Cricetulus griseus: one gene and its partners. The protein of the gene in region 3 purifies or fractionates together with the protein of the main gene of each other region. This does not show direct contact. Links are inferred from orthologs where the notes say so. Each region holds a gene or a part of one and is shown on either strand. Other genes may lie near its edges.

Region 1 (3,500 bases), on a different chromosome or scaffold from region 3:
TTAATGTTATATTCTCCATATTTTCTCCAGAATCTTGAGCAGTGGACATTGAGACAGTCCTGGCTAGAGCTTCAATTAATGATCAAACAGTGCTTGAAGGACCCTGTGAGTATATGTTGAAAGCACACATGTGGATCAAATCAAAAAGCAAAAGAGTCATTGATATTTGAAAATCAAGGCTAACTTTATTTCATTTCCCTGACTCTAGAGTTCTGGTTCTGTGGCCGAAATGAACAACTTACTGGACAATATTGCAAAGGCAACGATAGAAGTGTTCCAGCAGTCTGCAGACCTAAATAACAATGCCCCAAGTTCTGGCATAAGCCTCTTCAACCCAAATGGTATTGGAAGTGCTGATACAAGTAGCACAAGACAGAATGGAATAAAGACATTTTTAAGGTATTGCTTTAAGTGACAGTTGGGTTATTCGACAAGTTAAAGGGCAAAGTGAGTGATGTCTTGGCACTTTAGGTATTTTGTTGTAGGTCCAGATACTTTGGAGCCAGAGATGAACTTAAGTTTGATTTATAGTATTACTGACTTTGGGCCAGTCATTAAATATGAAATACTCTCTATGTGTCTTTATTAATTGGTAGTTTGGGTACAAATACAGTAATTTGCATTCATAATAGCACTTGATGTGATTATGAAATCATAATGTAATTGTTTTCATTATGAAAGACAGATTGGTTTGCATACCATAATTTTGGTAAAAGAGTTCAATAGTGAGTTTTAGAATTTAAAGATTGGTTATTCCTTGGCTTGAACATGTGTCCATGACAGTGTCCATAGAAAAGGGTGGTGAGTGATCAGAAATGAGGGATCCAGGAGAGTCACTGAGAACTGTTTAGTATGGAAAATATCTTCCCAGAACAGCACCTCTTATTCCGCAATGAATGTGAGTGGAATGTATAAGCAGTAAGCAGATGTCTTGGTCTTTAGCAAGAGGAGAAAGTACAGACATGATAGGGGAATTTTAGAAGTCTGTGTCCTACTGGCTTACTGTTGGGTTTTTGTATTGACTGTGAGAGCAGAGACCAGCTGCTTTGTTAGGTGTAACGCCTGTTTCTGATTTTAGTTCCTCTGAACGCAGGGGTGTGTGGCTGGTGGCCCCCCTCATCGCCAGGCTGCCAACCTCCGTACAGGGAAGAGTGTTGAAAGCTGCTGGGGAAGAGCTGGAGAAGGGGCAGCACCTGGGCTCTTCTTCAAAGAAGGAAAGAGACAGGCAGAAACAGAAAAGGTATGCTGGTGGATGCCTTCCATCAGGTTAGCATCTGAATGAAGTCTAGCCTCCTGCATCATAGCCATGCCATACTCAGTGTCCACAGTGTCTGTCTGGTCTTGTAGTAATGTTTAGTGCACCAGTTCCCATTCCTGCCTATGTGTCCAAATCACTGCAAAGCTGTTGAAACATGGGTTTGCTGTTAATTCTGACCTACAACCTTGAAATAATTACTGATTTTCTAAAATTTAGGAATCTTGCTCTGTACTCTTGTTTAAGTAGTCATAACAACTGCCAAAACTGTTTTTATGACCAAGAAAAGGTTTCAAAGAATTACTTTTGGAAATAGATCATATTATTGAGGCTGAATATTTATCCTATAAATTTAGCATCCAAGTAGTTTTAAAAAGAAAAGTCATAATTTCTCCATTTTATAAAAATTTAAAAACAGAGATTCTTGTTGCCTGTTAATAATACTGCCATGACCATTCTTTATTGGCCATCTATGAAAAGGAAGCTCCTGATCCAAAGTTTTGGCTTAGATCCATTCTTTCAGAAAATTTTATTTTTCCTATATCAATCAGTTTATCCATTGTTCCCTAACTGAAGATATTTTATGAACATGAAAATTGAAAGAGAATTTTTGCCCCTTTTCCAGTGGAGGCCATGGGCTGTGTCAGAACCTGGCTCTAGATATTTCCAGCAAGAACCTTGCTTTTGGAGGCTCAGACCTTGTGTCCACCCCTGACTTTACCAAGACTATGCTGTTGGTCTTTAAGAAATATACAACAAAAACCCATAGGCGTCCAAAATATTCAAGGTTCACAGGGACATGTGCTTCCTAAAGGAGAGTTTTGTTTGAGGAACTTCTCAATTTTTCTTATTAATCTTTGTGTACACTTGTAGTCTTTGTCATATATATTTAAAAATCTCCCTAGTAACATAAAGCAGGCTCATGACATCGACTGTAGGTTTCTGTTGCCTTGGCAATACCTTACAGAGCAATAGAGCATCGTCATTCACAAGCTTCTCCAGTGGCTTTTTAATCTTGTAAAGTACAGAAATGTGTTACCTTCCTGAGTTTTCTCTGGTGGTTTGCCATTCTGTCCTTTGTCTAGTAGTAAATAAACAAGGGCAGGGAGTCTACTAGACAGATTAACTGTTGCACCAGGGTGCAAGCCATTCTTTCTAACTGTTACTACTTCCTTTGTAGTATGTCTCTTTTGAGTCAGCAACCTTTCCTCTCCTTGGTCCTTACCTGCCTTAAGGGGCAAGATGAACAACGGGAAGGCCTCCTCACATCTCTGCAGAATCAAGTCAATCAGGTAAAGTGCAGTGTGGTACTAAGCCAGGCAGTATCTTTCTGATTGTATTCATTATTTTCCTTTCAAATATGAGATGAGACAGACGTGTCTATCAATGAGGTGCTAGGAAACATAATCCATGTCCAGTTCTGTCTAGCATCATGGTCAGCCTGAGGCTAACAACTTTGTATTAAGTATGCATTGATGGATATATAAAGACTATTAAAGTAAGTTGTCTCATACTGCTTTTTAGGTAGTTTGCCTGGAATCCTGGAGAGCAGAAAAAAAAATTAGAATGTGTAGAATCAAAGAAATGTGTTAGTTGGTGGTGTGAGCTGGTTTATCCTGACACAAAGCCTCCCTGTGATGTTAAGTAGGATTTGATGACATGAGCAAGGCCACTAGGCTTACTTGGTTTTCTTTGTCATCACACCCACTGCATATGAGAAGAAATCTTTTCTCTGCCTAGCTTCCAGAGTGAGCCATTTAAATACAAAGTATTCATGTTTTCTCATAATTCCTAGACTACAGATTCCAGGGCTGAGCTAATAGAACCCTTCCTGACTGGACATTTGCTGTTTCTCCCACCTCTTCTCCCTTTCACTCAAGCCTTGCTAGACTGTGGCTGCCTTCCAGTTTAGGTGCTTGTGCTGGAACAATGCCTTTGAGACATTAGTCTGACCTGCTCCCTCCCTTCCTGCTATTCTCTGCTCACCTTGCCTCCTTAGTAAGGCTGTGGTCACCTTCTAAGTATTTCTGCTCTCATTCTTTGTCCTCACTGTAGTAATATCTGTTTCACCTTCCCCTCTTTCTTTAGTGCTGGGGTTGGATCTAGGACCTTATGCATGCTAGATAAGCTTTCTGCCACTGAGTCCATTTTTAGCTTATTGAGACAAAGTCTTGCCCAGCTGGTCTTCATCTCTCTCAGTAGGCCACATGAACCTTGAACTTCCAACATTTCAGTGTCAGCTTCC
Region 2 (3,611 bases), on a different chromosome or scaffold from region 3:
CAACCAGGTGAGCCCGCCTCCCGCATCAGCCCCGCCTCCTGGTCAGCCTGCCCAGCCAGGAGAGCCCCAGCTGCTCTCAGCTTCCCTCCCATCTCCCCCCACAGCCTCTGTTTCCATGAGCGTTACTGTGAGGCTGCCTCCCACTGACGGTGCTCCTGGCCCAGAAGCGGGTGACTCTGCCTCTCTGTCTGTCCCAGGTCATCTGAGCCTTCAAGGGCCTGGGCTGCAGGATCACAGGTTAAGCCACTGGCTTCCTGGGTTCTGTGGGAGATTAAGACAGCCACACTAGGGGGCTGGAGAGATGGCTCAGAGGTTAAGAGCACTGACTGCTCTTCCAGAGGTCCTGAGTTCAATTCCCAGCAACTACATGGTGGCTCACAACCATCCGTATGAGATCTGGTGCCCTCTTCTGGTGTGCAGATATACATGGAAGCAGAATGTTGTATACATAACAAATAAAATCTTAAAAAAAAAAAAAGCCAGCCACACTTGCCTGATGGGTGTCTACCAGGTCTCTAACAGCACCAAAGACATTGGACTGGTCATTTCTTTTTTCTTTGGTTTTTCAAGACAGGGGGTCTCTGTGTAGCTTTGGAGCCTATCCTGGCACTCAATCTGGAGACCAGGCTGGCCTCGAACTCACAGAGATCCGCCTGCCTCTGCCTCCTGAGTGCTGAGATTAAAGGCATGAGACACCAATGCCAGCTTTTTTTTTTTTTAATGTATATGTGCTCCATCTGTATGTATTCCTGTACACCACAAGAGGGCACCAGACCTCATTATAGATGGTTGTGAGCCACCACGTGGTTGCTGGGAATTGAACTAATGACCTCTGGAAAAGCAGCCAGTGCTCTTAACCTCTGAGCCATCTCTCCAGGTTTGGACTGGTCATTTCTGAGCCACTCTTGGTCTGTAGGGCACTGAGCATAGTTCTGGCCTTCCCCAACTCCGTGCCCACTGTAACCCCCTGTGGTGAAGGTCACACTGCCTCCAGACCTCACCCAGGGTCCAAGGGTTAGCTGGTGACTGACAGGCCCATACCCACTCACAGTATCTCTGGGGCTGCACATATCCAGCACTCATCCCCAGTGTCCCCACCACAGGGCTCCCCACTGAGGCCAGGACACAGCTTCCTGCGAGATGGTACCTCTCTGGGCACGCTGCGAGAGTTGATGGTTGTCATCCGTATCTGGGGCCTACTGAAGCCCAGCTGCCTGCCTGTCTACACAGCCACCTCGGACACTCAGGACAGCATGTCTCTGCTCTTCCGGCTACTCACAAAGCTGTGGATCTGCTGTGAGACCTTGTGCCCTCTGGTCATGGCTTCCCACCAAAACACAAGTTCAGGCCTAGCCCACCACCAAAGTTTAGACTTCTCACTATTTCCCTAGTGCTTGGGGTGCAGGTCCCTAATTCAGAGGGCAGACAGAGCCCTGGGGAGGCGGCTGTGGGTACCGTGTGGGTGACAAAGTGGCTTCCTGGGAAGGCTGTTGAGTGTGGTGACCTCCATCCCCTCCCCACAGGCCGTGATGAGGGCCCAGCCAGTGAACCCGATGAGGGCTTGGTGGATGAGTGCTGTTTGCTGCCCAGCCAGCTGCTGGTGCCCAGCCTGGACTGGCTTCCTGCCAGCGACGGCCTGGTCAGCCGCCTGCAACCCAAACAGCCCCTGCGCCTGCGCTTCGGCAGGGCACCTACTCTGCCAAGCAACACCTCCACTCTGCAGCTGGATGGCCTTGCCAGGTGTGCTCACCTGCCCGTCCTGCCTTCCCCTCATGCTCTGCCCTGCCTTGATCATCCTGCAGCCCCTGAAAGTGTCCACACCACAGGTTCTCTCAGACAGGGGTTCCAGCATATTCTAGAACCTGGTGTGTCTAAGGACCAAGTTCTGTTTCATCAGGTCTCTGCCATTAGAGAGAACTTTGGCATTCCAACCTTTGCTGTGTGCATAGAGGTGTTTGGTTTTTTTTTTTGTCTCATGTAGCCCAGGTTGGCCTCAGACTCCCAGTGTGGGAGGAAGGTGGCCTTGAACTCTGATCCTCCTGCCTCCAGCTCTCATGCACAGCTTTGGGTGTAGAATTCATTTATTCCCACTCACTGATTTGTGGAGGCTGCAGTAAGCAATGCTGGTCTCAGGATTTGCTGATGCCCGTCTCATGGTGAGGCCTCTGCCCCCTCCTTTTTGTACGTGTTCTCATCAACCCATATCCAGCCATGGTTGGAAGGTTCTAGGAAGGCCCCGTCTCACCAGGAAAAGGCCATCGGCTATTGCTTCTTATGGTTGAGCCCTGGCTGAGATGGCATTGTGGACCCAGCCCCCACAGACCCTCACTCCCCTCTCATCCCCAGGGCCCCTGGCCAGCCAAAGATCGACCACCTCCGGAGGCTGCACCTGGGCGCTTACCCAACTGAGGAGTGTAAAGCCTGCACCAGGTGAGTGGCTGTGGCCAGACTCAGGGTCCCCTCTGCTTCCCGCCTGGGCTGCAGACAGAGCCTGGGATCTGTAGGGCCAGGCAGCTTCAGGAGGCCTTTGGGCATGGTCTGTCATACCCGGGGTGTGGATGGCCAGGGCTTGGGGTGCTCCATTTTGCCTGCTGGCATCACTGCAGGCAACAGTATTTCTGGAGTTGGTGGGAGGGTGAATATCACCAGTCCCTGGCTCCCCAGGTGTGGCTGTGTCACCATGCTGAAGTCACCCAACAAGGCAACAGCCGTGAAGCAGTGGGAACAACGGTGGATCAAGAACTGCCTGTGTGGGGGGCTGTGGCGGAGAGTGCCCCTCAGCTGTCCCTGAGTTACAGCCATGCTCTGAATAGATGCAGGGACCTTCTGTGATGGAACATTGACATTGCTGTCCTCGTCAGAGGCACTGGCTCCCACCAACAACCCCGGGTCTGCCTCTTCTTGGGGGTACAAGGCTTGTGCCACCTCCAGGGCCTTAAGTCCCATGGTCACGCCCAGGCCAGCTTGAAGGAGCTTGGCTGTGTGTCGGTCCATTCTTCAAAAGGCCACAGTCCATATGCTCCTGTCCAGGTTGGGATTGTCTCCCTCAGTTTCCCTTTTGGGCTTATGGGAGTGGAAGGCAGGCCCAATAAAGTCCTCTTGTACACCAGGCATTTGCTATCACGATGGCCCCCACCACTTCTACCCACCAGGTGAGGCTCTGTGCTGAGGGGCCCACTTGGATGGAAATTGCTGGGACCATAGAGAGCTCTGCCCCTCCCCACTGCCTCTCATCTCCTGGTCTCTAGCAGCCTTTGCTGTTGGTCCCCAGGGGTCCGGCCTGATTCAAGCTTCCCCATTGCATCTGCCCCCTGCAGTCAGGAGCCTCAAGACCCAGGCCTTAAAGATCTTGGTAATTGGTTTTGTTGTTTTCTTCTTGGAACCCTGTGGAGCAGAGTGCAGGGCAGTGGCCACTCATGACCTGGGACTGGGGAGGGCTGCCTAAGTCCTCTGCTCCAGAGGGGTCATGTTCCACCTCACCGTGCTCTGACACAGCTTGTGAGAGGAGCCACAGACAAGATAACAGGGCCTGGTAGGATCCCCCATCCTGGAACCAGCTTTACTCCCCTACATTTTATTATGTAGCTGGAGATAATCTTGAACTTTTGATC
Region 3 (3,500 bases):
CATAGATATATGGGCGATAGGCTGCATATTTGCTGAATTGTTGACTTCAGAGCCTATTTTTCACTGTCGTCAGGAGGATATAAAAACAAGCAATCCTTTTCATCATGATCAACTAGATCGGATATTTAGTGTCATGGGGTTTCCTGCAGGTAATTTGTTGCCCTTTCAAAATACTATTTTGAGTTATATTTCAAAAGTGTTCCTTTGTAAGAGCATGCATAAAGTTTGTTGTATGTTTATTTTTAAACTAAAAGAATTAGGAGACTTTTAATAAGATACTTTTCTATTAAAATTTTTTTTTAAGATAAAGACTGGGAAGATATTAGAAAAATGCCAGAGTACCCAACACTTCAAAAAGACTTTAGAAGAACAACGTGAGTAATTCTGGATTACCACAGTCCATGTGTGCTGGGAAAAACAAACGAAAATCTGAGATAAGTAATTCCCGAACACCAGGAATTAATTTTCTGATAGTTCCAGAGGCTGGAAGTCCAAGATGAAGATGCTGTCAGGCTTGGTGTTTATCTGTCTGCTCTCTGCTTTGAAGAGTGCCCTTGTTGCTGGTGGGAGGGCAAAGAGTGGGAACTGTGTAATATCTCTCCTTCTAAGATGTTAATGCCATTCAAGGATGCAGAAGCCTCCATAACCAACACCTTTGAAGGCCTCCCTCCCTTTGATACTTACATACTGGGGATCAGATTTCAGCATGAGTGTTGAGAGTGATATAAATACTCAGGCTCATTAGTTATAGAGTGTAGCTTCAGTAGGAAAAGTTAGCCCTTTTCAAAAAGGATATAGATTTAAACCAGCAATTCAGGTGTTAGTTGACCTTCATGTCTGTAATTTAAAGCATATTCCAAATGATTTTAACATATATATCCAATTTAGGGCTGTGATTTTTAAAAACAAGGGCCAGGCCTGATGGCACACATGTTTAATTCCAGCACTTAAGAGGCATAGGCATGTGGATCTCTCTGAGTTTGAGACCAGCCTGGTCTACAGAATGAGTTCCAGGGCATCCAGGGCTACACAGAGAAACCATGTCTCAAAAAAAAAGAAAAAAAAGAAAAAAAGAAAGAAAGAAAGAAAAGAAAAGAAAATAGAAACAGTTACAGTTTTAACATATTAAAGGTCTCAGTTCAATACTAGAGCTGTGGTTTTATTCCTGTCTGAGTAATGGTTGATGACCGAGATGCTGCAGTGGGAAACTAGGACAGATGGCAAGGAGGAGCCATATGGTCCAGGATCTGAATAAAGCAAACTGTGTATGTTGAGTAGAGGCGAAGGGAGTGCAGAGGCAGTAATAAAACCCAGGGTTCTATAAGGAGCAGAACTGAGGGACAGAGAGTGTTTGCTTTGTTAGATTGCCTTATAGGATGTAGTCCGTTAGTCCAACGATTGGTCATCTCATAGTGGAGAGGATGAGAATTGGGTAGTTGTTCAGTCTGCAGGCTGGTGACTGTCTCAGCAGTCTCAGTCTGGAAGATCCATGGAGAGCTGCCTGACTTCACATCGGCATTCCAAAGGAGTTGTTTGTAACACTGGTGAAGAAACAGCAACAGTAACAGAATAGGAAGACTTGCCGTTAAGAGTGAGGACAAGCAGGCAAAAGCAGTTTTCTTCTTCATGTGTTTTTATCTGGGCTGTCACCAGGGAGATGTTGCCTGCATTTGGGGCTGGGCAGGGCAGGGCTGGGCTGGGGGGGTGGGGGCTGTGTCTTCCTGTTTCAAATAATCTGATGGAAGGAAATTCCTCACATTCCCAGCACCTCCTTGGTAGCTCACAAGTGTCCATGACTCCAGTTTCATGACGTCTTATACCTTCTTCATGCCTCCAATGGGCACTGCATGAGCATGACACAGAAATACGTGTGGTCAAAATGCCCATACACAGGAAATAATTTTTAAGAAAAAGAAGGGACTTGAGAGATGCCCTTTTAGCCTCTGCAGAAAAACACCCATACACATTAAAATAAATATATAAATAAAACTAATGGTGATAGTAAAACCCCTCACAGGAGTACCACAGTTTACCACCAGTAAAACTGAAGTTTCCAGTTTGTACAGCTTACATGTCCCTTGCAAAGGCCAGGGAGGTGGGTAGAAGCAGCAGGAGCCTGGTGACCTGAATGTGGAAAGCTGGGTGTGATGTCCCTCTAGCCCCTATGTGTTGGGGCACATGTAAACACAAATATGTCTACCTACCTACTTACACACAAATGCATGTCTTTTTAAAAATGTACCAAGCTTGGGACTAGAAAAGTATTTTAGATTTGAGGGTTTTGTTTTTTTTTTTTTTTTCAAATTCCAGAAGTGCTTTGGATTTCAAATTTTGAGGTTAGCTCACGGACCTGCATATATCACTCAACATTTTACCCATTTTTAAATTCACTTATTAAATTGCTGTGATCATTTGGATATTAAACTGCTGTGATAGTTTGGATGTGATTGGCCCTCATAAAGTCATAGGGAGTGACTCTTAGGAGGTGTGGTTTTGTTGGAGTAGATTTGGTCTTGCTGGAGGAAGTGTGCCACTGTAGGGATGGGTTTTGAGGTCTCGTATATGCCCAAGCCACACTGACTGCCTCAGTCCATTTCCTGTTGCCTGCAAGATGTAGGACTCTCAGCTACTTCTCCAGTACCATGTCTGCCTGCGTACTGCCATGTGCCACCATGACGATGGACTAAACCTCTGAAACTGTAAGCAACCCCAATTAAATGTTTTCCTTTATAAGAGATGCTGTGGTTATGGTGTCTCTTCACAGCAACAGTAACCCTAAGATAACCGCCAATGGAATCTCAGCCTGAAATAGAACCCCCGTCTGCCCTCTTAATCCTAAACCTCTGTGCCTTATATTTCATGTCCTAAGAAATGGCTCCATGATTCACCTAGTTGTCCAAGCCCAAGGCCTCCTGTTTCACTCTCATGCATTTGACTTTCCCTTACCTCTCCAAAGGATTAGCAGAGCTGCTCGATTCCTTTTTTCTAGAAATGCTTGGAATCTGTTTCTGCCCATCAACCTTGCCAGTATAGTTAGAACAGCGGCGTGCTCTGCTTACAGTTCCGCAGTGGCCTTCCTGTAGTATTTCTATCCCTGTTCAATCTGGGTGTGGTAGCACATGCCTTTAATGGCAGGCTGAAGAAGTCTGATCTCTGAGATAGGCCAGTCTGGTCTACATAGTGGAGCTCCAGAGCAGCCAGGGTCATAATAAGCCCCTGTCTCAAAACAAAAACAGCAGCAAACAATAGAAATCACTAAAGCAAAATATGTTGAAAACTGCAATCTAGAAACTACTTTATTTCAATAAAATATTATTTCAAAAGTAAAAGAATATTATCTTGCTTTTATCAAAAATAAAGAACTTCCAAAATACTTTGCAAATTAATTGCTAAGAATGACAGTAGATTTTTTTTTGTAACTGTTCTAAAGTGTCAGCTCCAGGTAGCTCATTAGAAAACAAGGCAAGGCTAAGGGAGTCAGGCTGTTCACTAGAAAGATG
Region 4 (4,206 bases), about 230 Mb from region 3:
CACTCTGTTCTGCCAACCAGCCTCCTTACCTCCACTCTCTGATTCTCGTTCCTCTTTGCTAATTTTCTCCAAAAGGTTTGAGCACATTTTATTCAAGCTCTGGATCTGCTTCTGCAACACACAGGAATTGATGTAGTGATTAGAAATGACTCTGGGAAAGCATCTTCCTTGTGCTCTTCCAAAGGCAGCCTAGCTGTAACCAACCACAGACTCCTACTACCCAGGCTTGGTAAAGTCTTGCTTCTTATGAAGGGATGGGGATGGGGCAGCAGGGCAGTGACTCAGTCCAACCTGAGCTGCATCAGCACCAATTCTGGCAGCATCTGTTGTCAGCTGCTTCTCCTGCTCTTCAACTTCAGGGTCAGGCTTGGTTCTCAAATGGTCAGGGACGACCTCATGGCTGAAAACAGGCACTCGTCCTTCAGTCTGACGCTGTAACACAGATTGTATTGATCCTATTGTGCTATCCAAGTAAGCCGATTCTAACCCAGTTTCTCTTCCGTGGGAAACTGCATTTTTAGAGACAACACAACCTGAGACACAAATGTAGCTTTCTGTGGCTTTGTCTTTTCACATACACTCTATCAGAACTAGGACAAAATAAATTCCACCCTCCACAACCGCACTGTAATTTTCTTTTTGTTGTTGTTTCTATTTTGTTTTGGTCTTTCGTGATTCCCCACCCCCATTCTGGGGACCAAACCAGGACTTTTTTCTACCACTGAGCTAAATTCCTAACCCCACATTTTAAAGACTGATTGGACAAAGTTACAGGCAAGCAGAACAGACTTTTTTTTGGAAAAGAAAGGTCATGGACTTAGTTGACATGGCCTTGGCTTTCACAACATTATTTAAGAGTGACTCCTGACTCCAGAAGGACAAAAAAGCAAGTCTTCCAGATAGCAGCCCCTACTTTTCATTGCTATACAGAGGGTCCAATCAACAACTGTGCTCCAGACTTTCATTTAAGGACCTGATTTCCCTGGTTCAATCCTTTCTTCTTACCATGAGGTCTTCATCTCGATCTGGGGACAGCACCAAAGGGATGATGACCTGGTTACGGAACAGTGGTGTCTTCTCATGCTTTAAGACCTTGTTCAGAGTGTTCAACTGTCCAGAGAGCAATGCAAAGCTATCCAGGACAGAGGGCCTGCGGGTGGTAGGAAGTCATCAGAACTACTTTTCCCTATAAAGTAATCTCTAAAGTTCTAATGCTGGAACACCCAGACTCACCCCCAGAAGACTCACAGCCCTATGACTAGCCTAGGCAAGAACCAGATTTTCTAGCAGAGATGATGGAGTTGGGAAAGAGGAGCACACTGTCAATTTCCAACACGGACACACAGACGTAGAAAAAAAGCAACTCTTTTCCTTTTGGGGGGGTGAGGGGGCAGGGTTTCTCTGTGTAGCCCTGGATGTCCTGGAACTCACTCTGTAGACCAGAATGGCCTCAAAATCACAGAAATCCACCTGCCTTTGCCTCCTGAGTGCTGGAATTAAAGGTGTGTGCCACCACTGCCAGTCGTAACTCATTGTTTGAATGGGATTGGAGGTAGTGGAAAACAGAAACTGTGGTTACACTGTGGTAACTAAAAATTCTTTAAGTGGATAAAAGCCTCCTTTCTAGCCTAGTTAACAGAATCCATCATTCCAGAGTAGGGTGGATCTCAGATTCAGCCACATCTGTGGAAGGAGATCCAGCATGAATATAGCTTTAATGGTTCCCCACTGGGGGAACACCTCCTCACCAAAGAAGTCAAAGCGTAAGAATTAAAACCTCGAAACAGCCTACGTTGGGAAACTGGGCATTTCTCTACTTCCTTGCCATGGAGGCTTTAAGCCAAACTATACTTGTCAATGTTGGGCAACCTAGTTCTTGCCAAATCAAAAAGGATATTTGCAAACTGATAAATAGTTACATCATTGGAGATGTCCTGTCAGCCCGGGGGCTTGGCCCCACCACCCATGGATTCCCTCCCCGGCTTGCCCTGGCAATCCTTACCAAGTCAGCCGGTCATACTCGTTTTCCAACTTGTAAATGAAACTCCCCAGTGAATTCTTCAGATCGGCCACTTGATTCAGCAGTGCATCTAAGGATGCCTCAAGCTGCTTCTCCTCCCTCTGCATCAACAGTATGCTTGGTTACTCAGATACGAGCGATCGTGGCACATACAGAAAAGCTAAATTGGTTTCTATCTTGGTATTTGGGTTACAGACAGCATCAACCCTTAGACCTTTCAACCTGTTCACCTGGCCTGAAGTCCTCTTACCAATTGATTCCTTCTATCAACCTCCTACACTATGGCCCTTCAAAAGGAACATTACACCAGACCTAATTCCCTTCTGCTTATGACCTCACCATTTTGTCTTCATAACAAAACTGGCTTAGAACTGTTTATCACTTAGCCCTTCATCTTTTCACTTCGATTCTCTTCTCCTCCCAGCTCAAAAGACTGCCTCTCTTAAAAGCCAACATTCTCTTAATCTGCAGATGCTCAAGCCAAAGCACAATCTTCTTTGTTAAGTCTAGCCTTTTCTGGAAAACAGTCTGCCTACCACGCAGCTGCTTGATGTCCTAACTCTGCTTTCCTTGGGCATATAGAGAATCCTTGTATTGTGTCATTCTGTGGAGTTGGTATTGCCACATTTCTTTCAGAAAGTTCAGTACATGTTAGAAAGGTTTGCCAAGGTAACAGGGGTGCTGTCGGCATATAAGGCCAGAAGGCACACCTGAGGTTCATTATCTCATTACCTCATGGGTGCCTCTATAGTACATGCAAGCCATTATCCTCTGCCCTGTGAGTGCAGCTACTCTCAACACAATCTGGAGAATCTCACATTTTGCCCGTATCTGAGGCTGTCTCTGAACACCAGCTCTGCAGCTCCCCTCCCCAACTGGTCCTTTGCTGAGTCAATGTGTACTCCTGCATCTCTGTGCCAGTATTCCAGTGTCTCTTTCGTAAACTCGGGTGACCCATAAACAGTCACTGTAGGAATACCAGGTGCAACAAACTGAGTAATGGAAGACAAAGGCGAGGAAACCAACACATTCTTTCTGGACGTTAGACAATTTTAAATGCTGTGTTGGCAGAGGGTTTCCGTTTGACCATCTGTGGTCTATTTACTCCACTTCTGCGCCCTAAGCAACGGGGTACAAGGCGGGAAGAATGACACAAAGCTGATTTGCAAACCCGAGAATGTGAAGGATGAGGTTGGATACTAGGTTCCACCCACAGCCTCGGATTACAAACTGCTTAGTTTTCGTCCTTGGCGGCCCACAATCCCTTCAGCCTTCTGAAGCCTTGTTGCGCCTGTGCCCAACAGTCGAGGTCGAGGGCTGTCCCAGCCCACTTCTTTCTCTAGCCTTCCCAAATGCCAATTCGATCCTTTCACACAGTCAAGCAAGTCGGCCGTGCCTTTCCCCCTAACCCACGCCTCTGACCCTCTGGCGTTAGCGCGCTAAATCCCCGCGCCCCCCGCAGCTGTCCTCGTCCCTTCCGGCTTCGCCGCCTTTCCCCAAACAGCCGAGGCCTCTGCCCTATCCTCACAGCTCCAACTTCCCAGAGTCCTCGGCCCGCCCACCCTCCAGCCGGTGGCTAGCGGCTGGGAGGCCCAACCGGCTTCTCACCTGCATTGCCACGGCCCGGTTGGCGCAACCACTTCCTCTTCCGGTTTCTCGCGCCGCCGTCTGTGCCCACCAATCAAAAAACTCAGAACGCGGCCATCCCTACGACTTCCGGTTCCTGCCCGGTACCGAGCTAGCTGGGTCAGAGGTCAGGAGTGGAGCATCCTCCCTGGCCCGGGCCGGCGCGGGAGGGCTGTGTGATGGCCTCGGAGCGCCCGGAGCCAGAGGTGAGGGGCGGGCGGGCGCGGGACCGAGGCCCAGAGGGCAGGCGCGTAGCAGCCTCCACCCTCCGGAGCCTCGAGGAGGCCGTAGCTGTTTTGTTTACTCAGATGTCATCCTGATCCTCATCTCCCACCCACAGATCTAGAGATGGTTGTAATGACAAAACTTCGTGTTTGGGGTATTAGTTGCGATTTTCATTGGGCCACGCTGAAGCTGACCGACTTTGCGGGTTTTTGTAGCTCATCAACTGGAATGTAATCAATAGCATGAGTTGATTTCGCTTTAGCGTCCATGCTTTTTGGAAAAGCCCTGCAACCGTCACAGCAGTCTTAACTTCCCAGATCCTGTCTCCTTCTTTA
Region 5 (2,897 bases), on a different chromosome or scaffold from region 3:
ATCCTCTGATCCCTCACCCCACCCCCACTGTTGGCTTATAGATGCGCACTCTTGCGCCCTGCTTTACACAGATTCTGGGACATAAACTCAAGTTCTCCTGTCACTAACTGAGCCATCTCCCAGTTCCATGACCAGATCTTAAAAACAAAACAAGCAAGCCAGAAGTGTCAGGTGTCTTGAGAAGATGCATAAGCTCTTCCCAGTGTTCTCTCACGGACAGTAGTTTGGAAATGAGAGGGAGATAGAAGCCTCATCTGTAAGCCCTTGGCTTCCCAGCTCTCTGGTGGAACACAGAACAAGGGGCCTTGTGGTGGGTAAAACGTGTTGTGTAGCCAGGATCCCAGAGCTGAGGTGGCTAAGGCTGTGACCAAGAGTGATAGGGAGACCCTGTCCACCTCCATTTATTTTTCAAGTGACTACAACAGATTAACATTGAGAAACTGGTAAGGCCAAATGTTGGTAAAATAATTGGTACATTCTGTTCAATTCAGTATTGCCAGTATATTCTTATTGTGGCATTTAGCCAACATGAAACATTCAGACTTGCCTCATCGTAATGTTCAGTGGCCTCATGACCCTGGTGGCCGCCATGGTTGGACAGTGCAGGTGTGAAGGAATGCAAGGTGGGCTGTACTGGCTTCGAGTCTAACCCCAAGCCTTATGGCTCAGAAGCTGACTTCTGTGTTCTCCCTGGCAGGTTTGTACTGGAGCAGTACAATGCCCTATCCTGGCTCACGTGCAATCCGGCCACCCAGGACCGCACTTCCTGCCTTCCCGTCCACTTTGTGGTGCTCACGCAGTTGTACAATGCCATCATGAACATGCTCTAACTGGGAAGCGCTTGTCCCTCTGCCTCAGCTCCTCCCGCAGCCTCAGCCAAGGAGCCTGCTCCACTCTACAAATGCCCGGCCTTTTTCAGATCACTCCCCACAGCCCTGCACTGTGACGCCTTCTGAGCAGGCTCATGCTCATTCTGCAGTGTTCATTGCCACAGTGACTCCTTGATGTGTCTCAAGAGGACCTGAAAATTTCCCTAGGAAGGGACTTGAGCCAATGTGTGATGTGTGCAGCCTGCAGTCACCAGGAAATGGTGGCTGTTGGTGACTTAAGAGGGAAACAGAAGACACACTGTCCTTTTGCACAAGAGTCTGCTCTCAGCCTCTGTTAGTGTCAGTCTGTCCAGCCCTCTGGATGCAATCCTCTAGCCAATGGTGGATGCCTGTGGGTCACCCGGACTCCATAACCTGGGACGCGTCACAACTAAGAGCCAGCTCCATCCAGTACAGGATTTAGTACTGGGGTCTCCACCTCTCCAGCCTGTCAGGAGGGCTTTGGTTGGCAGCACACCTTTGTAGACACAGGAGGTCTGGAGACAGCTGCATTTGTTTATTTATTTTTTGTTTTGTTGTAAGGTTTTTGCAACTTTCTTTTTTTCTAATCTTGAGGACCAGGTACAGTCGCTGAAACCCACCAAGACCCACCATAGGATTCTCTGACTACATACCTCTGTCCTAGAAGCCAGAAAAGGAGTGAGAACAAACTGGGGAGACCATGCCTGAAAAGCAGTGTAGTCATAACCACCCAGCAGTAGACGCTGGTACAAACCATCAGGGTCCGAAATGTTCTGCTGTGCTATGTGGCCCGCGTTTGTGTGAATTACACTTGTATACAAAGGCAGTCAGGCTCAGCCCCAAGCTGGAGGCAAGGACCTTAATCACTTCTCTATACAGTCACATGGAAACACCTTTTCTAGAGAATTCTTACAGAAACCCAGGTCTCTTCTTTCATTAGATCAAAAGGGATTCGTGTACATATCACAACCCAAAGTGTTTGTTCAAAACACTTTGTAACAAAACCAGTTACAAACATGGTGATTTTTTTTCTGGACCATAGGAATATTGTTTCAAAGAAATAGTACAACTCAACCATTAAATCAGTACTTGAAGCTGAGCCTCTATGTGGGACTTTAAAAAAAAAATGCCTTTTTAAAGCATTAACAGCTGATTGAAGTATTTTTGACTCCCCCTCCCAGACCTTAGGGTTGACTTTGAAGCCCTGTTTCTAGCCCTTATGTTGTATGTTTCTGTCTGCGGGTAGTGGATGTGGACTGGCTTCCAGAGTCGCCTGGCGGGCACTGAGCCCGGCTTCCGTGGGAGAGTCCTGCAAACTAAGTTCTTCCAAGAGACTTTCATGTCCTGGTTATTAACAAAGAAAAAAAGGAAAAAAATGTAATAATTGATATGATTTTGTAAAAGTATTTTTCTTGAGATAATCTAACGTTTAAAACATTATATTAAATAACACATGGTGGGAATGTGAAAGCAGAGAAATAACTTGTAAATGGGTGATTGTTCTCTGTCCCACCAGCTGGGGGGGGTTGACTTTCCAATGTATAGCTTAAAAAAATCTGATCTATCAAACCATTTGTATCTAATGTGTACAGTGTAAAATTGACTTAAAATACCGCAGTGCTATTTTTTCTTATCAGAGAGGAAACCCTCAAGGCCTTTTGAAGAACGTAAGATGATGGGGATGTAAACTTGTATAGAGTCACCCCGGTGAAAACGGACTGTAAAGTACATATTTGTAATCTTTTACCACTTGGGGTTGCTTTTTCTCAGAATTCATCAGAACTTTGAATATCTCTCTCTCTCTTTTTTTTAAATGGGCTGTTTTTACTGCAGGGGCTTTTCTTCCCTAGAAACCCAACTCTACACAGAAAAAGAAAAAAAAAAGGAAAAAAAAAACACAAAAAACCAGAAAAACACTATAAAAAGTTTTAAAAGAAGGCAGCAAAGGGTAGTTTTCATCTGGTGTCTTTTATTTAAGTTTTTTAAGTTAAGAAAAGCTGGTGACATATTTATACGTTTTTGTGCAAAAATAAATGAATGGCAATA
Region 6 (2,174 bases), on a different chromosome or scaffold from region 3:
TTGCAAACTTCCAGATTTAACACCAGACGTCGGCTTTAAAGGAATAATGCAGAGGCTAGAGAGATGACTCAGTGGCTCACATTCTGCTCTTTGTATAGTACCAGTTTGGTTCTCAGCATCCACAGAAATGGCTTTCAACCACCTTCACTCCAAAAAAAGCCAACACCCTTTTAGCCTCTGCAGGAAATGCACTCACACTCACATAGACAGCTAACACAGGAAATATAGTTAGCACATAAGATATTTTAATGTCTAAAATGAACATAAACTTAGTGACCGAAGACTGATTACCTGACTGGGGGGAAGGGGAAGCCCCTAGCAGATATTTTATGGAAGATAAGGAAGAAGCGGCTGTGATACTGAGTTTGTAGAACAGTCATCAGGAAAATAGTTCCTGTATTGTTTTGGAATAAATCTAAACATTTTGTAATTTCACATGTACAGTTTGATGCCCTTTATTAGTCTTAAAGGAAATAACTCCCCCGTAAGAATGACAGTTCAATATTTCTTAAAATTTTTATTCCACTTCCAAAAATAGGACTATCCCATTCAATAGCAAACATTCTGCTTTTTTATGATCATTACTCAAATATACTTCCTTGCCTATCCTTACTGTTAAATTATCACCTACAGCATTTCAATTGAGAAAAGTCCCTTTATATTTTTAGTTATACCTCTTAAGACTGTCCAAGAGAAAATAAACTAATATATGATGCTATTCACTAAAAGAAAAAATACTCATGGTCTTTCATTCATTTCATCAACTAGGACACATAAGGCAGCATCTTTCTCTATAATCTGGTCCCTCCTGTGACCTGAATTTTCTCTTTGTTGTTCATTTTGTCCAGTACAATTGCTGTTATCATCAGTATCCATTGGCTCAGTTTTAACTCTCATCCCTGCTTCTGAATGGGGTAAATCATCTGGCAAAGAAGCAAGGCAATTTTGGATCATTTCAATTACTCGTTCCAGGTGTTTCTGAAACCTCTCAGCTGTTTCAAGACGTTGCCGTTTCTGGACCTCCATCATTACTCTCAAGGTCTCTCTTGCTTGGTGGGGTCGATACTCATTTATAAGATGATGCACATGTACGAAAAGCAGCTTAAGATCTTCTAGCTTCTCTTCTCGTTTTATACTCCCAGGGCTCCTTATTAAGATATCTAAAAGGTCCAAGAAATTAATCAGTATAGACATATTGAGTTTTCTCAGTTCTTTCTTGTGATCAAATTGCATAGGATGAAGCCGTTCAATGCCCTGACTTTCCAAAGGGCGAATGATAAGATCATCACATTGGAACTGGTTGCCGAACATCATGTAACTGTCTTTAATTGGAGGGGGAGGCTTGGGAGCTAAGCCTTCCTGAATATTTTCATCTGTATATTCCTTGATGTACTGCATTGGAGGTGGTGGGAGTGCACTCACTTGCTGTGGTTCACCCATTGTCGACAATCAAGAACCTAAAGAAACAGAACACAGATTCAGAGCAGAACCAGACAACACTACCCCCAACCACCATCAGTGACTTCAGAGTATGTTTTTCCTTCTTCTGACAGGACAGGGTCCAAGACAAGATGATCTCAGATTTAAAACTAACATTTACAAAAAGGGAATGGCCATCAATTATTTTCTAATTAAAGATTATGTTGTTAACACCCCTATTGTTTTCCTTTATCTCCTTGGTGCTTTCCAGAGCAGTTAAATAAACAAGTTACTCTTTTTCATATATAAATAAAATCTGAGGGGATTGGAAGCTAGGGCAGCCACACATCAGCTGGGTGTCTGCTGAGGCAAAAGAAAGATAACAGCCTACGGATGGATGTGCAGGGTGTCTTGTTTTTGCTTTGTGCCTAGGATCTTCTGTTGCCACCCCCTCCCTGCCCATCTGGGGGAAGAGGGTCTGTGCAGCAGACATCTAGAAAGGCACACCATTCCAGCAGAAGGCAGGTACCCATAATTACAGTAATGGCATTGAAAAAAATAAAAACAAACAAAAAACCTTTCTGAGCACAAAAGACACTAGCACTTGTTAATTTCTCAAAGATAAACCCATACAAAGCATCCTGAAAATAAAGGGGTGTGGTGGGAGGAAGAGGCTCTTATGACATCTGTCACTGTATCATGAAGCTTCACTGCTGAGGAAAAAAATTACCAACCAATGACCAGGGCAGCCTGGA
Region 7 (3,500 bases), about 19 Mb from region 3:
ATGGGTAGTAAAATGCTGCCTAGTCTAGGTTTTCAAAATGTTTTTTTGTTTGCTTTGTTTTGTTTTGTTTTTTGAGAAGGACTAGGCAATCCAGAAATGTCTTTTCTCTCAGTTTTCGAGTATTGGTGCAAACCTAAGACAATACTATATAGGCCAAAGAAAACATGTCTGTATGGCAGCTCTACAAAAGCCGTGCTTTTTTCTCTCATATGATAAACATTGTAAAAGACCATATGTTGTAGTACTTGTGCATGTGACAAATTGGAGCGAAGCCCTGCTAGAATCAAGCACTTGGGTCTTTGCAATAATTTATTAAATAATTTGGTGATAAATGTTTTATTATTCCTCAGCAATGCTTAGTTGCCTATTTGAGAGGAGAAACAGACTAAAGGTGCCCAAGCATGCTCTTAGGTCTTGTATGGAGAGGTTGCTCTTCCAGAGAAGAGGGATCCCTCTGCATTTTGAACCAACTACACCCCTAGCCCTAAAGCACCAGAGAAACCATAGTTCATTTCCAGTAGTTCAGGCCATCATTACCAAGTGTCCAGCACAGCTTAGACATGTTAAGTGAGCTAAGTCCATTGGAACCATTTCATTTCAGATTTATAAGTTTATTTATAAATTGTTGATGACTAGAATGCCCTGTGTTTATGTAGACACATTTTTTTTTATTTTGTGCTTTTTTTCCTCTTCAGCCTTATACACAGCATTGCAACCAGAGTGATAAAACTTGCTCATGCAAAATCCAGTGTCGCCTTAGCCCCAGCTCTGGTGGAGACTTACAGTCGCTTACTGGTCTACATGGAAATAGAGTCTTTGGGCATCAAAGGATTTATCAGTAAGACAAGCTTCACTGCTGTTTCTGATGACTAACATGTTCATTAATTTAAGGAGTACTCTTTAGGTGCTCTCAGAGGATGCAGCAGGCATGAGGCCCACTGCTGAGGACAGACAGGGGACAGGGAGTAAAGCAAGCAACTGAGAGAGATGCACTGTGACAGACAGTGTGTGATAGAGAAGAAAGCAAAATGTGCGACAGGAGAGCTTCTTAATGTCTGTGGGGAAAGAAGCTTGTTTGGAAGTAGCATGGCAGGAAAACGACAGTAAGCTAGGTGCTCAGGTGGGCTGCTCAGCTTAACGTCCTCTCCCATGCAAATGAATTCTTAGAGGCCGAAGTGCTGGGTGAGGCTAGTGCTAAGGCTGGCTGGCAGTAGAGAAGGACTTTCGGACACTGCAGAAGACAGTGCTAGCTAGTGGTTAGCAGTTCTACATAATAGGTGCTCTCTAACTGGAAACATCTTTGTGATTCATTTCACCAATAGCCTGAATTTTAACCATAGTCACTCTTTTTCTCTTAGATGTGAATCCACCTTTCTTTGGATGGAAGAAAGAATGAACAAGGAAAGACGTTAGCTTTTTTGTTCTGGTTTGCTTTTTGGCTTTTTTTGAGACAGTATCTCCTACATAGTCCAGTACAAGCTGGCGTCTCACTTTTTATGTTGGTGAACCTGGCTCCGAACTCTTGATTCTTGCCTCTACCTCCCAAGTGCTAGGATTAAAGGTAGCTGCTACCACACCTTGCCTTTTTTTTTTTTTTAATTAAAAATTGAATCTGGCTAGGTAGTGGTGGCACATACATCCTGCCAGCACTTGGGAGGCAGAGGTAGGTGCATCTCTGAGTTCAAGGTCAGCCTGGTCTACATAGTGAGTTCTAGGACAGTCAGAGGTACACAGAGAAACCCTGTCTCAAAAACAAAAAAAACAAAAAAACAAAAGTGACTGTTATAATTGTGCTAATTGCAATGGTGTACACCTGTAGTCTCTGCTGAGGAGGTTAAAGCAGGAAAATTACTTGAGTGTAAGAGTTCACTGCCAGCCTAGGTAATGGAACCCTTGGGTTTAATTTCCAGCACTATAAAAAAGAGAGAAAGGAATGTCTCTCATACTCAAAATTCATAAATCTTGACTATGGAAATATTGTAAAAGATAACTGAGAAGCAAGGCAAGTTGGCAGTTTGATGGGCTTTTATTCTTTTGTTTGGTTTTGTTTTTTGTGTGTGGTTGCTTTCATTTAATTTTCCCATCTTAACTTGAGCCTGACTTATCAAACTCTAGAAAGGAAAGATAAATTCAATGTGTATGTAGGCTCTGATTTTTTCACCCCTACAAGTAGAACTGTGTATGTACTTGCGTGTATATGTTATTATAGTTACATTTTTGTATATATCCTGAGTGTGATATTCTTCAAATATCCAAGTTTGTCCCTTTTAGTAACTGGTGCCTGGAATTCTTCTTTCTCCAGGTCAGCTCTTGCCTACTGTCTTCAAGTCGAACGCCTGGGGCATTCTGCACACCCTTCTGGAGATGTTCAGCTACCGCATGCACCACATTCAGCCTCATTACAGGGTGCAGCTCCTCAGCCATCTCCACACGCTGGCTGCAGTTGCACAAACCAACCAGAACCAGCTCCATCTGTGGTGAGTGCTACAGACTGCCCTTCCTCGGGTTTGGTACGCTTGTGCTTTCAAGTGGGGGACTTAATCCCCCACCCTCTTTTTTTTCTTATTTGTTGTAAAATTAAAATTCTGTTTCTAAGATACTATAATTCTAACACAGTAGTGGAATCCAAGTTTTTAATAGAAGTTGTATTTAAATACACTTCAAGTCATGGTTAAAGTGTCATTTTAATTTTGATATAAATGAAAATATGTTTCAGATGGGGGAGGTAACACAGGGTCTTGTGTATTGTAAGGTGACCTTGAATTCATTTTTGTAGCCAAGGCAAGATTTAAATTCCTGATCCTCCTGCCAGTGCTTCCTAAATGCTGACCTTGCAAGTGTGTGCTACTTACCCAGTAAAAATACAATTACTGACGTGTTGTTTGTCTCGGAGGGTTTTCATCTAGTCTATAAGCTCTTTCTTGTCGCATGTGTAAAAGGTCAGCTACTTCTGATTGTAAAATTTAGCATCAAACAGGGAGGTTTTTTTATGTCAAAGAAAGGTAATGTATAATCTTTGTGTCCTTTCAGTTTAATAATTCTACAATTGGATCTAACTGCATAAATGTGAACTGTGCTTTCTTGCTGCTTTCAGTGTGGAGAGCACTGCGCTGAGGCTCATCACAGCTCTAGGGAGCTCGGAGGTCCAACCGCAGTTCACACGTTTCCTCAGTGATCCCAAAACGGTGCTGTCAGCAGAATCTGAAGAACTGAACCGAGCCTTGATCCTCACCTTAGCCAGAGCAACTCATGTCACAGGTAGAGACCATGATCCTGACCTTAGCCAGGGCAACCATGTCACAGGTAGAGACTGTGAGAGCCACATTAGCAGATGAAGTGTCTTGCTCCTCTCAGGCCACAGTGGCAGACTGTACTCAGGAGGTGCCCGTTCTGCCATCTCCATATGATCAGTTAATAATGGAAGCTCAGGGCACCACCATTCTAACTAAGGGTTTTGTTTCATAACTGCTTTCAAACTAATTTGAAATTCCCAAAGATTT

Evidence for each region.
Region 1: the proteins of Cdk19 (region 3) and Med12l purify together in Homo sapiens (affinity purification with mass spectrometry; 3 studies listed by BioGRID and IntAct, counting the BioPlex papers as one, with this or other methods). This does not show direct contact. The link is inferred for Cricetulus griseus from reciprocal best matches to the Homo sapiens genes CDK19 and MED12L.
Region 2: the proteins of Cdk19 (region 3) and Med16 purify together in Homo sapiens (affinity purification with mass spectrometry; 6 studies listed by BioGRID and IntAct, counting the BioPlex papers as one, with this or other methods). This does not show direct contact. The link is inferred for Cricetulus griseus from reciprocal best matches to the Homo sapiens genes CDK19 and MED16.
Region 4: the proteins of Cdk19 (region 3) and Med8 purify together in Homo sapiens (affinity purification with mass spectrometry; 6 studies listed by BioGRID and IntAct, counting the BioPlex papers as one, with this or other methods). This does not show direct contact. The link is inferred for Cricetulus griseus from reciprocal best matches to the Homo sapiens genes CDK19 and MED8.
Region 5: the proteins of Cdk19 (region 3) and Med13l purify together in Homo sapiens (affinity purification with mass spectrometry; 5 studies listed by BioGRID and IntAct, counting the BioPlex papers as one, with this or other methods). This does not show direct contact. The link is inferred for Cricetulus griseus from reciprocal best matches to the Homo sapiens genes CDK19 and MED13L.
Region 6: the proteins of Cdk19 (region 3) and Med7 purify together in Homo sapiens (affinity purification with mass spectrometry; 5 studies listed by BioGRID and IntAct, counting the BioPlex papers as one, with this or other methods). This does not show direct contact. The link is inferred for Cricetulus griseus from reciprocal best matches to the Homo sapiens genes CDK19 and MED7.
Region 7: the proteins of Cdk19 (region 3) and Med23 purify together in Homo sapiens (affinity purification with mass spectrometry; 5 studies listed by BioGRID and IntAct, counting the BioPlex papers as one, with this or other methods). This does not show direct contact. The link is inferred for Cricetulus griseus from reciprocal best matches to the Homo sapiens genes CDK19 and MED23.

The regions. Positions count from the first base shown.
Region 1 is NW_023276806.1:92,245,073-92,248,572, reverse strand, and holds part of Med12l (mediator of RNA polymerase II transcription subunit 12-like protein), read left to right. Parts: intron 1-30; coding exon 31-105; intron 106-208; coding exon 209-399; intron 400-1,078; coding exon 1,079-1,240; intron 1,241-2,435; coding exon 2,436-2,547; intron 2,548-3,500. UniProt on the Homo sapiens protein: May be a component of the Mediator complex, a coactivator involved in the regulated transcription of nearly all RNA polymerase II-dependent genes.
Region 2 is NC_048598.1:100,693,907-100,697,517, reverse strand, and holds the end of Med16 (mediator of RNA polymerase II transcription subunit 16), read left to right. Parts: coding exon 1-7; intron 8-1,103; coding exon 1,104-1,296; coding exon of another isoform or gene 1,297-1,316; intron 1,317-1,523; coding exon 1,524-1,740; intron 1,741-2,346; coding exon 2,347-2,430; intron 2,431-2,664; coding exon 2,665-2,791; 3' UTR 2,792-3,111; downstream 3,112-3,611. UniProt on the Homo sapiens protein: Component of the Mediator complex, a coactivator involved in the regulated transcription of nearly all RNA polymerase II-dependent genes.
Region 3 is NC_048595.1:263,010,347-263,013,846, forward strand, and holds part of Cdk19 (cyclin-dependent kinase 19), read left to right. Parts: intron 1-5; coding exon 6-149; intron 150-304; coding exon 305-374; intron 375-3,500.
Region 4 is NC_048595.1:33,902,819-33,907,024, forward strand, and holds the start of Med8 (mediator of RNA polymerase II transcription subunit 8), read right to left. Parts: upstream 2,801-4,206; 5' UTR 2,786-2,800; coding exon 2,753-2,785; intron 2,122-2,752; coding exon 2,003-2,121; intron 1,151-2,002; coding exon 1,006-1,150; intron 433-1,005; coding exon 292-432; intron 112-291; coding exon 30-111; intron 1-29. Other genes in the region: KICSTOR complex protein SZT2, read left to right, coding at 3,826-3,852. UniProt on the Homo sapiens protein: Component of the Mediator complex, a coactivator involved in the regulated transcription of nearly all RNA polymerase II-dependent genes.
Region 5 is NC_048597.1:98,644,605-98,647,501, forward strand, and holds part of Med13l (mediator of RNA polymerase II transcription subunit 13-like), read left to right. Parts: intron 1-697; coding exon 698-830; 3' UTR 831-2,897. UniProt on the Homo sapiens protein: Component of the Mediator complex, a coactivator involved in the regulated transcription of nearly all RNA polymerase II-dependent genes.
Region 6 is NC_048600.1:60,992,662-60,994,835, reverse strand, and holds the end of Med7 (mediator of RNA polymerase II transcription subunit 7), read right to left. Parts: exon of another isoform or gene 2,154-2,174; intron 1,458-2,153; 5' UTR 1,441-1,457; coding exon 739-1,440; 3' UTR 501-738; downstream 1-500. UniProt on the Homo sapiens protein: Component of the Mediator complex, a coactivator involved in the regulated transcription of nearly all RNA polymerase II-dependent genes.
Region 7 is NC_048595.1:244,070,302-244,073,801, forward strand, and holds part of Med23 (mediator of RNA polymerase II transcription subunit 23), read left to right. Parts: intron 1-695; coding exon 696-838; intron 839-2,302; coding exon 2,303-2,477; intron 2,478-3,094; coding exon 3,095-3,258; intron 3,259-3,500. UniProt on the Homo sapiens protein: Required for transcriptional activation subsequent to the assembly of the pre-initiation complex. Component of the Mediator complex, a coactivator involved in the regulated transcription of nearly all RNA polymerase II-dependent genes.